Linked DNA regions of Oreochromis niloticus. The protein of the gene in region 2 interacts with the protein of the main gene of each other region in a pairwise test. Links are inferred from orthologs where the notes say so. Each region holds a gene or a part of one and is shown on either strand. Other genes may lie near its edges.

The links. The genes of interacting proteins can lie anywhere in the genome.
Region 1: the proteins of fbf1 (region 2) and cinp interact in binary tests that used the Homo sapiens proteins (3 or more experiments, as listed by UniProt). The two-hybrid records come from large-scale screens. The link is inferred for Oreochromis niloticus from reciprocal best matches to the Homo sapiens genes FBF1 and CINP.

Annotation. Positions count from the first base shown.
Region 1 is NC_031983.2:30,840,571-30,848,410, forward strand, and holds the start of cinp (cyclin-dependent kinase 2-interacting protein), read right to left. Parts: upstream 3,021-7,840; 5' UTR 2,884-3,020; coding exon 2,877-2,883; intron 2,111-2,876; coding exon 1,948-2,110; intron 1,872-1,947; coding exon 1,742-1,871; intron 1,017-1,741; coding exon 887-1,016; intron 1-886. Other genes in the region: uncharacterized protein LOC102079865, read left to right, coding at 3,406-4,054, 4,219-4,410, 7,674-7,840. UniProt on the Homo sapiens protein: Component of the DNA replication complex, which interacts with two kinases, CDK2 and CDC7, thereby providing a functional and physical link between CDK2 and CDC7 during firing of the origins of replication.
Region 2 is NC_031969.2:13,397,664-13,404,777, reverse strand, and holds the start of fbf1 (fas-binding factor 1 homolog), read left to right. Parts: upstream 1-4,039; 5' UTR 4,040-4,205; exon of another isoform or gene 4,206-4,298; intron 4,299-4,321; exon of another isoform or gene 4,322-4,597; intron 4,598-4,713; 5' UTR 4,714-4,759; coding exon 4,760-4,762; intron 4,763-4,916; coding exon 4,917-4,947; intron 4,948-5,946; coding exon 5,947-5,991; intron 5,992-6,086; coding exon 6,087-6,132; intron 6,133-6,241; coding exon 6,242-6,284; intron 6,285-6,380; coding exon 6,381-6,431; intron 6,432-6,513; coding exon 6,514-6,655; intron 6,656-6,784; coding exon 6,785-6,865; intron 6,866-6,997; coding exon 6,998-7,045; intron 7,046-7,114. UniProt on the Homo sapiens protein: Keratin-binding protein required for epithelial cell polarization. Involved in apical junction complex (AJC) assembly via its interaction with PARD3. Required for ciliogenesis.

The DNA of each region.
Region 1 (7,840 bases), on a different chromosome or scaffold from region 2:
TTCATCTCCTTCATCTCTGTGGACAGTGATGCTGTCAGTTTCCTGCATTGCAAACGTTTACTGTGTTACACTCTGATCACCGATCAATCATTTCTCATAGTCACCGCTGGAGAATATCTGAGTGAAGATGAGCTCAGATGACTTTTAGACTCTTAAACTGAGACTGTGACGTTTCAAAGCTGCTGCAGACAGTCTGATTGTAATCGGATTACATTTCAGTCCTTGAATGTCATCTAACCACATTTTAAAGGTTCCGAGTCTGAGCCTCGACATGTTTGGATCTGCTTCAAAGAATCGCAGGCCCCGGAACAGAGTCCTCTTCCACGGCAGGACGGATCTAAAATGGATTCAGATCACAGATTCAGACCGGATCCGGTTCCAGCTCATCCCGTGTTACTCTATTTGGATCGTTTACAGCTTCTGCATCCCTGACTTCAACCCTCTCTGCTCAGCATGTGGGCAGCTGAGTGAAAGCTGAGCCACGTTTGTCTTTTATCATCAAAGTCGTCGGCTCGGAAACTTTGGTGTTTTACTCAAACAGTGACTGTCGGGCAGCCATCGTTGATCGTGAAGTTGATATGAGATCAGATTATAACTGTTGACACAATTTAAGTCCTCAAGCATTTTTATCCTATAATGGCAGAATTAATGGAATTTGTTATTGCTACTGATGGAACGGGCAGAAACCGCACCAGAAACAATTGAATAAAATCTGAGTAGAGGGCGGATCTGCCTGGAGGCTGTTGCTATGGGCAACTAATCTCACAGCTCCATCAGTAAACTGTGGCTGAATCATTGGATTTAAAGTGAGATGTAAAATTAAGATTAAGCTTCATCTGACCAGAGTCCAAGCTGCTACACGGTTTCCATCAGCCACGCTGCTCACCGAACTCTCTGGTGCTCCAGCTGTGAAACAGAGGAGTTTTTCTTCCTTCGGCTCCAAACTGAAACGCCTCCAGATCCTCTACTCCACGCTGTGATGTCATCAGACGATCCATCTTCGTCACCACAGCAGCCTGACGGGAAACAAGAAATGATGTCACACAAGAGGTCTTGACGCATGCTTGACGCATGCTCGATGATCCAGGTAATCCCAAAAAGTTGATTCTGTCACTTGGAAGAGTGACGAAACGTTTCTCCCACTGAAAACGCTGCGTCCTCATGAACAGAAACAAATCTGATCAGCCTATCAGAGCATAGCACGGATCTATTTCAGCGCCTTCATCGGTCACATGACACGTGTAAAATGTTTGCATGCTCAGAGGCTCCAGCAGAACACTGATAACCTCCTTCCTGATTCCTGTTATTGATTATTATCTTGCTTGATTAGCTCTGTCTGGGAGTTCAGGTTTAACTGATCCAGCTCACTCAGAGAAAGCTGGGAAATAGTGAACCTGATGATGGCATCACTTTAAAATCAACAAACTGAGATTCAGTTTAACTTCATAAAGCAGTTGTGCACATCAGCCCAAGGAGGAGGAGCCTTAATCTGTGTCACATGCTCAGTCAAGATCAATACTGATCAGCTTTTGTTCAGTGGTCAATAAAAGCTGTTTTCTCATTTTCTTTTGAAAGGTCTGTGTGAGCTTTTACTCTCTGCACTCAAATTATTGATCACTGATGGGGCTGCTGTGTGTGTGTGTGTGTGTGTGTGTGATTATTGATTATTGATTGGATTCTGAACCAGTGTTTTGTTTTTGTCTCTGAACCTAAGTGTAAATAATGTTTTTTGAAGCTTCACCATTTTGTCTACGATTTCCTGCAGTTTGAGACATTTGTCCTGCAGCTCAGAAGCTCCGCCCACGTGCTGTGGTGAGGAAGAGGGTGGAGGCGATGAAGAATTGTTGAGCAGCAGCTGATCGCTCTGAGCACTGAAAACAGATTTCAGATTGATCAATCACATGATCCATCAACACCTGGCATTCCTGAGATCATCAGTAAACTGACCGCCTCATGTTGACGATGCTTGCTGCCGCCATGAAGCCGTCCTCATTCAACCTGTCCCACCGCAGCATCATGTTGTGCCAGTCGGCAGCGTTGTCTTTAATCTTTCTCGCACTTCCTGTGATCGCAGCAGACTTCCTGTTTGCTGACGTGACTGAGATGTCACCTGAGAACAGAGTCACGTGATTTTGTTGTTGAGTGTTTTAGTGACAGAGTGTGCAGGCGACACGACAAGACAATCAATAAAACTTGTGTAAACCACGGTCCTCAACGTGCAGCTCGCCGCCTCAAAGCAGCCTCTGTCACTTCCTGTGATGTCACAGCTCAGAACGTGACAACAACATTTCTAAACTTTTTGTCAAAAAAATCATTTAAAAAACATACAAATGTCAAAAATAGACATAAAATGAAGTAAAGCAAAATCAAAACAAACAAATACATCATCATTCAGCCGTCAAAGGTCAACCGTAACCAACCCTAACCCACCATGAAGCAGGTTCAACATATCCAGGATTTCTTGCCTTGTCTGGCTTTACTGATCCTGACCTCGTCCACTCGAGCTCTGCAGCAGAGGTCACCTTATCCAGGTAACTCAGGGTTTACCTGGCTTTAGCCGGGTCAGGGGGTATTTCACCATGCTATGCCGGTATGAAGCTATAATGTTTCCTGCTGATCAATAATCGATACCAAGCTGCCCACCTTCATGGTCCACGTGACTCCAGCCAAAGGTGAAATCCTACATGGACCTCAGGTGTATACATATGACGTCACTCTTTGTTGTCGTTCTAGTCTCTGAGCTCTGACCCTGAGCGCGCGCCCGCATGACCGCTGATTAATAACGGAAAGGCTTACGCCAGTCAGCTGATAATTTTTGCTGCGCGTGCCATCGATCAGCTGGTTAGTCACGTGTGGATCGATTATCAATCACCCACCTTCCATCTGATCGATCAGCTCCGACCAGCTCCGCCCGCTCAGCTTCTTCTTCGGTGGTTTTTCTTCCAGTCGTCTTCTTTGACCGCGGGTGTCTGGTTTCCGGTCTCGGCTCTCAGGTGAACTCACCTGTGCGCGAGAAGCTCTGTTCTGACCTTAAACTGGTTTTCTGCTCTTACACGTGACTGACGATGCCGCCCTTTCAATTCTCTGACATGCGCAATAGCGTCTGAAACTTACTGGCAGTGACGTCAGCACTGGAACCGGATGTTGTAAGTAAGTGTCACTGCGCCTGCGCTAAGACTGGGACTGCCGTACTTTTACTGACTCTCTTTTTCTGTGGAGATCTTTTAAAAGCTGGCGATAATCGATAATATCACGCAGGCGCAGTTAGAGTGAGAAGAACTGTCGGAGTTGACCACAGACACGATCAAGGATCGATATCAGCTAATCAGAAACGCGGTGTTGTGGCTGTGATGACGTCAGGGCCGCTGCTCAGGTAGCTCCCTGATCGATAATCGGAGGTGAGAGATGGCGCTGCAGCTTCCGGCCGAGTTGTGGCTGAAGGTGTTCAGCTTCCTGTCCTGGAGGGACAAACTGAGCATGCGCTGCACCTGCTCATACTTCAGACACCTGCTGGATAAGTCCCGCCCCCTGTGGAGGGGCTTCAGCGTGGTGCTGCAGAACCTCTCGCGCTACAACCCCTCGTTCTGGCGTAGCCTGGCTCAGAGGCACGTGGGCAACGTGCTGCTGCGCTCAGGTAAGAGGAAGCACCTGAAGCAGCTGTACACCTGGCTGCCGGCGCTCTGCGGCCTGCGACTGGACGACTGGAGAGAAGGGGGCATGGATGATCTCAGACTATTCCGCCAGCTTCAGCGACTGTCCGTCACATCCGGTTCTACACCGCTGAGGAACCTGGACTTCCTGTTTCCTCTGAGTCAGCAGCTGACACAGCTCGGCCTCTGTAATGTGCAGCTCACCTGTTCTGCCTCTCACCTGTTGGCCGCCATTGGTCAGCTGACGCGTCTGACCTCACTACTGCTGCACCATGACGGCAGCCTAAGGGTCCCGTCCCTCAGCGGCGTCCTCGCTCACCTGACCGAGCTCACACACCTGTCCTGGACCATGATCACCTACAGGACGCTCCCACATGACTTCTTCAGCCCCGCCCACCACACAGGTAGGCACACCTGGATCAGTCACTTGCTGAGATATTTAATAGTTAGATTATTGATCTTGAAGGAAGGGAAGGGTAGGCACTGGTGTGTTCTGCCTTCCTGCTGAACCTGCCTCACCTCTGAGATGGAACAGAGGTGAGATCACATGTCACGTATCGTCCTGCAGGTGATGTTGCACTACAGCTGCTGGACTTGCAGCTGCTGAATTATGACGCCGTGGTGACACAGGAAACACTGCAGCCTTTGTCCCGCCTCCGTACCCTGTCAGTGTTCCACCTGTACTCCGTACCTGGACCCACCTGTCACCTGCAGACGTGGCTGACGTCACTGCCACACCTAACCAACCTCAGCATCCACGGTGAGTGTGTTTCCCCCCTTTGTATTTGTCTATCTGAGCATCTCTCTGATGTCTGCAAGTTCAATAGAGATTGAAAATGTGATGTCATTCTGGGGTAAAACTGCAAAGGATTGTGGATACGAGTGGCAAGTGGTACTAGCGCGCACAGGGTTTCACAAGAAAACAGTCACACGGTGATAAAAAGAAACACAAAGAATGGCAAGAAGCTGTTGTATTATTAACTGCAATAGCCGGTCGCATGACAGCCACGGGAAGCCAACGGGTAAAGAGATCGGTTGTTATCGTATTACGTCGTGGAAGAGAAATTGTTAAAGCCGTGTTTCTGAAGTAACAAAGAGCCGACGGATGGCCTGGATTGCAGCCATTCAAAGACCAAATATAACGTCCCAGAACACTCCAGCTCACATGTTAGTCTGCTCCAAGCATTTCCACAAAGGTACGTCTTCTGTTGTAGTTATTACGTAATTTATCATAACATAATTGTTGATGTAGGTTACAAATAAGTCTTATATTGATTTGAATTGAATTCGTTGCGTTATGCTGCTTTGTTCACTGTGGCTTTGCGGGCTAATGTTTGTTGTGTTTTGTAGGAAAACCAGCCTACAAAATGCTGGAATGCATCCAGACCAGGCACCTCTATCACCCTGGGTCATACCGAGGTTAAAGCTGCTACCACAGCCAGATTTGATCCGTTAAGAGAGAGAGCGATATCAAAACAGCCACGAAACGTCCCGCATATATGTGCCCAAGGGGGTTGTATTGTTTTGTTTTTTGTTTGTTTTTTGTTTTTATTGATTAGCATTTAAATATCTCAGTGAATATAGAATAAAGATTACCACAAAGCAAGAAAGCATGAGACAAGGCTAATCAAAAGGTATTGGCTGAAGCATTTGCTTATTACGCCAACCCTTTTAACAAAAGATCTTTTTGAAGCAATCAAGTGATGAATAACTGTTTTCCAGTATGTTGTTTTGCAGTGTTGTTTTTTTGTTTTGTTTTTTTGCATTTTTGATTTGTTTTTCACCGAAGCAGCTAATAAAGAATGATGGATTTTTACAATTTTGCCTCTTTCTTGTAAGATTCTATAATAGAATCAAACAATAATGCCAGTTATAAATAAAGACAATAAATTGAATGAATTACGAAACACTCATTTTATTTCTATTAGATCGGAAAATGTTGTGTAATACCACAACCTGAAACCACAAATAGATGCGTTTGCCTGTACAGGAGATAAAGGAAAAGAATTTAACAACAGCTGTGAAATGGAATAGTCCAAATCACCAAAGTAAACTGGACCTGGGCTTGTTGCAGGGATCTGAAGTTAATAAGATAAGATAAAAATGTATTAATCCCTCGGGTGGGTTCCTCTGGGAAATTCAGTTTCCAAATAGCCCAGCACCGACAGAACTTAGAGAATGTGAGCAGAATAGCATACACATATATAAATAAAGAGACATGTATAAATAAAGAGTATACAAAAGGGATAAATAGAATAAATAGGAATAAGAATACAAGGGAATTGCACATTTCAAGTATTGAAGTCTATTGCACCGTTGGTTATTAACAAAAACTATTGCACAGTGAAAAGGCACTACAGCTTAGTTGTCCCCCCCTTCCTTTGTCCTCCTGTTTCCCCTCCCTCTCCCCTCCAGAGAGGAGTTAAACAGTTTGATGGCGTGTGGGACAAAGGAGTTTTTAAGTCTGTTGGTTCTTGTCTTTGGGAGAAGCAACCTGTCACTGAGCAGACTCCTCTGGTTGTTTATGGCCGTGTGCAGAGGATGCCCAGCATTGTCCATAATGTTCAGCAATTTCTTTAATGTCCTCTTCTCTGCCACTGACACCAGAGTGTCCAGCTTCATGCCGACCACAGAGCCAGCCTTCCTGATCAGTTTTTCCAGCCTGGATGAGTCCTTCTTTGCTGTGCTGCTCCCCCAGCACACCACAGCATAGAAAAGTACTCCAGCAACCACCGACTGGTAAAACATCCTCAGGAGCTTCCTGCAGATGTTAAAAGACCTCAGCCTCCTGAGGAAATACAGTCGGCTTTGGGCTTTTTTATACAGGTGCTCTGTGTTCCATGACCAGTCCAGTTTGTTGTCCACCCACAGCCCGAGGTACTTGTACTTGTTGACCACCTCCACCTCCTCCCCCTCTATCTGAACCGCCAGTGGACCTGCTCTGGACCTCCCGAAGTCCACAACCAGTTCCTTGGTCTTTGAGGTGTTGAGTTGCAGGTGGTTAGTGTGACTCCATGTGACGAAGTTCCTCACCAGACTTCTGTACTCCTCTTCCTGATTATCCCAGATACACCCCATAATGTCTGTGTCGTCTACAAATTTCTGAATATGGCATAATTCAAAGTTGTAGCAGAAGTCAGAGGTGTACAGGGTGAAGAGAAGAGGGGACAGCACAGTTCCCTGTGGTGCTCCTGTGCTGCTGACCACAGTGTCAGACATGATGTCCTTCAGCCTGACGTACTGTGGTCTGTCAGTGAGGTAGTCGGAGATCCAAGCAACCAGGCAGGGGTCCACCTGCATCCTGTTTAGTTTCTCCTGGAGCAGACAGGGCCGGATGGTATTAAAGGCACTGGAAAAGTCAAGAAACAGGATCCTGACCGTGCCTTTTCCCTTGTCCAGGTGTGAGTGGGCTCTATGTAGATGGTACAGGACAGCATCCTCCACTCCGACACCCGCCTTGTATGCGAACTGTAGTGGGTCCTGGGCATGTTGTACCTGTCGTCGGAGGAGTTTGAGGAAGAGCCGCTCTAGAGTCTTCATAAGATGTGACGTCAGTGCCACCGGTCGGAAGTCATTTAGCTCATTGGGCCGGTTCCTTTTGGGGACCGGGACGATGCAGGATGTCTTCCATAGTAATAGTAATAAACATCTTGTGAGTGTATGCACTCACACTTAGAACCATATAATAATAAATATGTGCGTGATGAAAGTTGGGCAGCACGCTGACGTCCTTACTCCACCCTGTACGCTCGTATGGGTCTGACCCTTTCACTCCTTTGATTTTTTCGTCGTCCTTTTTTTTGCCTTTTCGTCAAGTCTGTCTTCGTACGAACCTGCCGTGTTCTCCGTCGTTTTGTACATAACTGTTTTGGGGGCAAATAAAATGCAAGTAGGGATTAAAACCGCAGAATTAATGATTACCGGTGCTGGAAATACTAGCGCTTGATGCAGTGTTTTGATTTTGTTGACACTCGTACCCACAATGCAATGCGCGAAAGTCACGTGATCTGTCAATCTCTACAGGAGGCCACCCCCTGTCAGCGTACGCTGACTTCCTGCCCATCTCGCTGCTCAGCCTGACGCTGTGCGTGGACCTGCAGCCCGACGACCTGCGGGTGGTCTCCACCCGGGTGCCGCAGCTTGAGCACCTGCACCTGGAGCCCTGGAGCTCATCATCCGACCTGATCAGA
Region 2 (7,114 bases):
CTTTGTATTCTCTCAGTGATCTGGTTCTAATTCATCTGCATTTGGCAGCTCACAGTAAGGCTCCCACCGGGAGTGAAAAAAAAGAAAGAAATAGAGGGCTACAAAAACAATGAGGCTTGTTTTGATCATGCCTTCCCCCTGTCTGTCCAGCAGATGTTCGTTTTACTGAAGAGGAAACAGCAAATGAGTGAACATGGGTATGTTTCAGTTTGGAAGAAGAAACTGGACAAAGGCTGAATTTGCAACATCGCTAATAATGCTGTCTGCTTTAGAGTCAAAATGTATCTTTAGCTTGTGAATTTGATCAGATTTTCAGGGTTTAAAGTAACAAATATGTGCCTCCATACAATAAAATGCCACAATGTTCTTCTCTGATTGTCTGATGTTTTACTTTTACATATAAAATTATTTTCCATAAGGAAAAACAATAGAACAAAACATTTTCATACCCTCCAACAGTAAATAAACATACATACTACATTTTAAATCTTACAAAATTTATGTTTCATTCATACATGGTGCAAGTAGCTTCTAGATGGGAGAAGTGAATCCAAGGCCAAATCACCTTAATGATGCATTCTTTCTAGTGGCCAGCAGGGGGCGACTGCATTAGTCGCAAAAAGACTTCTGGTTATGTTACTGTGACCACTTGCAGTCAGCTGCCAACTTTAAACTAACTTTGGTGTTTCAGGATGGTGATCAAACAGGAATAAGACGGCAATAAGACAGTTTGTCACTGAACGGGGTCAAGTTAGCAGTTACATTCAATCTGTTTGTGATTAACTGTGATAAATCTGTGCAATTACATACACAGAAATTCAATTTAACGATTAACATTCAGAGTTCAGCAAAAATTTCTTCAATTTGAAACTGAAAATGTACAAATTCCACAACAAACTGGGAGATAGTTACTCCAGGACTGGCAATTTAACTGCAAAATAACATAGATGCTCAATATATTTGTTTTTATATGAGCATATAATCAGCTACATCCAACCAGCTAATAACCAGTTGAGTCCCGTATTGCAAAGACACATGTGACAGATGAGTTGTACTCATTGGAACAGACTGCCACAGATTGATTGCAAGGTGTTTGCTATCTTTCTACATTTCTAAATTAGATGGCAATCATTTGCAAACTTTTATCAATTTGTCATTACAGTCTGTGTGGTTTGGAACATCATTGCTTGGAGACAGGTCGCATCTCACCAGGCAACCTCCCGATCAAAAGTAGTCACTCAGAGGTTGAAGGTGTTGCATGCTCGAACTACGTGCAATCAGTTGCTAAAGAATTCAATGTAGTTATTGGGCAACCCTTGATTTTCCCTTGTCCCAAGAAGGTTGGTATCCTATTTTTACTCTACTATTACAGAACCGTTATATTAGAAGTCCTCAGCTCTCTCACATTTAAACATTTTTCTGATATGGGTTCAGTTAGAAGTTTGAAGTCATACTGAACAAAACATGAAGTTCACTGTGTTGACATTATTATTAATGCTACAACTTGTAACTGACATCGTTAGCTGAAGGGCGTACACTGTCCTCGGTTTTATTGTCACTCCCACCCCTCCTTCATCAACTGCTAAACTTTAGGCTTCATATGGAGGTCACTAACCAGTATGACCACACACATCTTTCATACTGTAAATAGTCTCATCTCACACTATGGTTAACCATAGATTACATAAAAGATGGACGCCTATTTGGAGGCCTGAAAACAGCTAACACCACTCAGGGCTAGCTAGCTTGGTGAGCAAAGTCCATTGGCATGCTAATTTTGGCTATTGGAAAAATAGGTCTAAAACAAAATGTTTTAACCAGAAAAACTGAACAACAAACTCCATTACATATATTTTAGTGCAGCTGAATGCTGATCAAGACCAACCATCCATGCTCCCATGTTTTGCATAACTTTAGGCCTTAGCAGAATTTTAATGGGAACATTAGAGCAAAATTCACATGTCATGATTACAGAACTTAGCTACAGTGGCCCAAATGGTTTTTGCAAAAGGGTGTAAACATATTTATATCGGTGGTAAAACTGAGTATTTTAACATGGCGTATCTGCAGATTGACTCACTTTTGGAGTATTTTAATTAAACATAATTTTTACTTTATTAGTAGTCAGTTCTTGTGTTTTTTTCTCCAGGAGAAGACTGCAAATGTTACCACTTTCATGGGTAAATCATAGCATGACACATACATTTTTTTCCTGCTTCTTTTCCATATGGTTTGTGTTAAGTTGTTGTGCACAAAGAGATCCTTTGGCAGGATGCATCTCAGCATTTCACAAGAGGCCTCATTTCTTCTGAAGTATTGAGCTTATGTCATATGTTGCACTGTATGTGGCATGTAAACATTAAAGCTTTATGCTGCTCTCCCAGAGGAACCCCAGCAACTAAATAAAGCATTAAAAGGCATTTATGCTCTGCTGTGTGCCACTGAACAACAGGGAGGCTTCTCTGTCATATGCACTAATAATAACTGTTCCATACTTTGGTGATTTATTAAAATGGTTTTCATATCATAGAAGTATTTATTTTCCACTCTAACACAGAAGGTCAAAGTGCTTTTTTTTTGCCTCCTACCAACATTTAAAATGTCAGCTGACATTACAGTAAACAAAGCACTCCTGTAAAGTACACTGATCACATGACGTGCACAGCAGATCATTTGGAAAATAAATAAAATCTGATTTGCACACCCAGAGTATTTTATCAAAGGCAAATTGCCACAGATTATCATTTGTGTGCATTTATCCGACAGTCTCGACAAAACTGCAGAGGGGAAATGAGGCCTGTCCACATTTGCCAGCAGAGGAAGGAAACGTCTCTGTTAACAGCTCCTGTCTGACTCACCAATTCAGGAAAAAGGAAATAATATCGAGCATGTACAGACCTCATGTGCTGAAACTGTTTTGATACTACAATGAATAGGACACAAAATCAGCTTGAGTTGTATGTAACTCTGTAACATGATGAATGACGGCTTTGAGGAATGTGCTTACTGGAAAACGACTGTCCTCCTGCACATTCAAACTCAGTCCACACAAATCATCACAGAAAATAAACTTTACAGTTCAAATTAAACATTAGATCAATATTGGAAAATTCCATTAAGATATAAAGCTCACATTCAGCCATCGTCTTTTATTTATCCATTTCAGAGCTCATGGGAGGGTAGGGGCGGGGTACACTGTGGACAGGTTGTCAGTGTGTTGCAGACCCAACACATAGAGCACAGGTGTCGAACTCCAGGCCTAGAGGGTTGGTGTCCTGCAGGTTTTAGATGTGTCCGTCATCCAACACAGCTGATTTAAATGGGTAAATAACCTCCTCAACATGTCTCGAAGTTCTCCAGAGGCCTGGTAATGAACTAATCATTTGATGCAGGTGTGTTGACCCAGGGTGTTATCTAAAAACCTGGACACCGGCCCTTGAGGCCTGGAGTTCGACAACCCTGACATAGAGACTGATGATCACATTAGAGTCACCAATTAATTTAATCCACACATATGTCTTTGGGATGTGTGGGGTACCCAGAGAATATCCCCGCAGACACAAGAAGAGCATGTAACCTCCCCACTGTGGCTGCAGTCTGAATTCGAACCCAGCGCTAACCACTGCATCTCTGTTCCACCCTACATGAAAATTAGTGTTTATGTATGAGCACATATGCATGTATAGCTTCAGCACTGTGGGACAAACTTCCGTTTGCCATCAGAACTGCTCAAAAAGCTCTTTTAAAAATCTACTTGTAAACTTTTAAAGATGATTACTCTTTTTTTCAATTTTTTTATGACTTTTATAAAACTTGAAGTTTAGGTTAAAGGTACTCTTCTAGTCAATTTGCCAGCTGTCTCTGACAACAGAAAAGGCTTTAGAATTTTAATAGTATTAGTATTAGTCCTAATAGTTGCTGTAGTAGTAGCAGTAGTAGTAAACTGACTTTAAAATATTACTTAGCTGTGATTTGCCTGGAGTCATTTTCTAAGCTTTGATGCCACCTGCTGGTAAACCACTTTGGCAGACCTCACTAAGCAGGCCCAAGCACTTTGGCTTAAAATACCAGCTCACGTTCAAAACGACGAACTTCAGTGTTTTTAGACACAGCCCAAATCAAAAGCCTCTTTTTAAACAGCTTTCCCCGAAGGGTTACTTGAAACTACTCTACCCATAATGCACTTCAAACAGTAAACAGGAAACGTATGTTTTGCCGGTCGGTACGATTGTGGCACCCGCTACTCCAGCACTGAGTGGCCCAAACGCCGAAGCTCGTGGTTTACTGCTTATTTTTTTGTATGTAGCTACATTTAATGCTAATCACAAGCCTAGCGCTGGAGCACTAGTTAGCTTTTGTTTGCACTGTGGCTAAGGTGCAACCTTCTGTGAAAATGTGTTGTGTGGGGGCGGTGTGATTTTTTTTCTTTACCGTTAGTCTGCTGGCCAACTTTAAGATGCTAAACACAACGAGCTGTATCAATACGTGACTATTTAAACCACAGTAATTAAGACGAAAGGTTCCAGTCGTGCTATGTTCTTGACAAATGCTAGCTAGAGTAGCTGAGCGGTTGCCAATGGAGACAGGAGGCGCTTATGTGTGTTCATTTTATGCTGCTCTTAAACCCAGAGCTGCTAACAGTGACGATGAAATGATAAATAAATAAAAAATGACAGTAAAAATTTATTCTTCTCTTTTCCTTTGCACTGTTAGCTCAATGGCTACTCTTACACTGTAAACCCACCAGCACAGATTGAACATGGTAAGTCAAACTGTGCTCTCACTCGACATTTCTTTTTATTTATTCATTGACGATATAACGGAGTTTCATTATCACTGAGGATCATTTCATTATCATTCACTTTTTTCATGATTATCTGCTAACTTAATAAACTTATTTTCACTGCTATTTTCAGGCTACAAAGCCGAAGGGGAAAGCCTCGAAAAGTAAGTTAATCTTGTGCTATTTGAATCCTACAAACTTTCCATTTTTTTAAATTTTATTTTTTATAAACTTTCAGGAGTATCAAACATAAGGCCTGGGGCCCAGAATCAGTTCGACAAAGACTTCTAAAGGGTCTTGTACCAAGTAGTGATTTCCGATGTTTCTGTGTATTTGTTTCAATGTGTAATGTCTTTGCTTATATTGATATATAGACTGTAGCTAACATGATTTATTAAGGGGTTTTGTATATAAAATAAATAAAAACACAGTGTCTTTATATAACTATTATTTTGTATTTGTTGCAATTTCTGCTCCCTTCTTGGAGAGATCACTCTTTAAAAAGACACTTTTAATGTCAGTGAGACTTAGCTGGATAAATAAAGGCTTATATATAAGTTAGTTTGCCCAAAACTGATTGCAGCTTCTACCTTGTGACAGGAATGTTGTTTGTGGCTCCAAACGGCTCGATAGCAATCATGAAAGATATGTTTGACAGATTATATGCCAAGAAGTCATTTACAAGAGTTTAAAAACGATGAATTGCTTTTGGTACAACACTGACCTGCTGGGTGGCTTTGAACAGTCTAAAGCACGGCATAAAATTAGACTTTTAACTGATTTACAGCTTGATAAGGAGCTCTCCCATGGCCATTCATACTACACCAAAGTAATTAAGTAATATATAAACTATAAAGCAGAAAATTTAAACTTTTGTACAGTGACAGTTAGGGGAGTTTCACTGGTCTGGTCCACTTTATATTAAAGTATGTTGTATCTGGCACACAATTACATCCTTCTCCCTCATGATTGTACCTCAGCAAAACATTGACTATAAAATGATAAATGCCTATTTCTGCATTAAAATATAACCCAGTGTGTCTCCGTCCTCCTGATCCAATGAGGATGTCATACCACCACAAATACAGATATAGGCAGCAGCAGTAGTATGCCTCGCTTGCACCATGCTGAAGTTGACTGTATACCTCTGTTGCTTTTCTAAGGTTCATTCAGGGATGATTTGCTTGACAGCTTGCTTGATGATGACAGTAAGTGAGCGCAGTTGTGCAGTTTTATCAGAATTAGCGTCTATCTTTATGTTAAAGTGTGTCGTAATATTTTCTTGCAATAATTTGCTAACTAGAGCAGCCAGTAAGGACGAAAGCATCACGTGATGGACCTATGTATAGGTAAGTTAGAAGGAAGATTTGTGAATTGCAAAGTGCCAGCTGTAAATTATTACTCCTCTTCATGTTCTGTTTTCGTTTCCTGCTCGTCTGCTACTGATTATATCTTCAGCACGCTAGCACAGGAGATAAAAATGGATGGTGCGGACACTGAGGTATGTAGGATAATATGCAAACGGGGTCATATTCACACAGTTTTTTTGTCCTTTTGTGTTTATTTTGTCTCTTTATATTTTCTTCTTTTGTCCAAGGACTCGGATGTGTCAGTGGCTGATCCCAGCGACATACTCAAGAGCATGAAGGTGGGTCATTAAGTGAGGTTGCGGCGGCAGAGATAAAGTTCACACTGTGCACGTTTCACTTTTCCTCTCTGTCCTCGTGCAGGACATGGACGACATGGACGCTGACCTCTTTGCATCAAAGAAGAAGCCTAGTTCGGCTCCCGCGCAAACAAAGCCACTTGTTAGCGAAGGACCAAAGAAAGACTCTGCTGTGCTCGAGAGCAATGCAAAACCAGAGGGAGCAGGTAATTCAGTGCAGAGTGTTCTCGCATAAATTACTTTCTCATTATTAGCTCCACATTATTACCAGCTTTGAAGTTTTACATTAATAGCAGCGATCAGAAAAAGGCTTTTGTCTGCCTCGCTTCCCTCAGATGAACCCACCAAAGGGGGGAAGAAGCCGAACTCTGTACCTTTATCCTCAGCGCGGAGTTATAAGAAGTTCACCTTCTCTGGTAAGCGAGTCTCCCCGCTCCCTCTCATGGCATCCGCTTCCTCGACTGAGCTTTGTATAAATGAACAAGGTGCAGATGTGTTGTTGACTTGCAGCTTTGCTTTGTTTCTCTCAAAATGTTGCTTTAACTCAGACAGTGGTGGTGAGGACGAAGGTGTTGCTCAGACTCCTTACGCTGAAGGTACATTAGTGTTGATACGTGTTTAGTGCTGTACTTGCAGTTAAGTCACATCAGTGGGTGCTTGTGGGT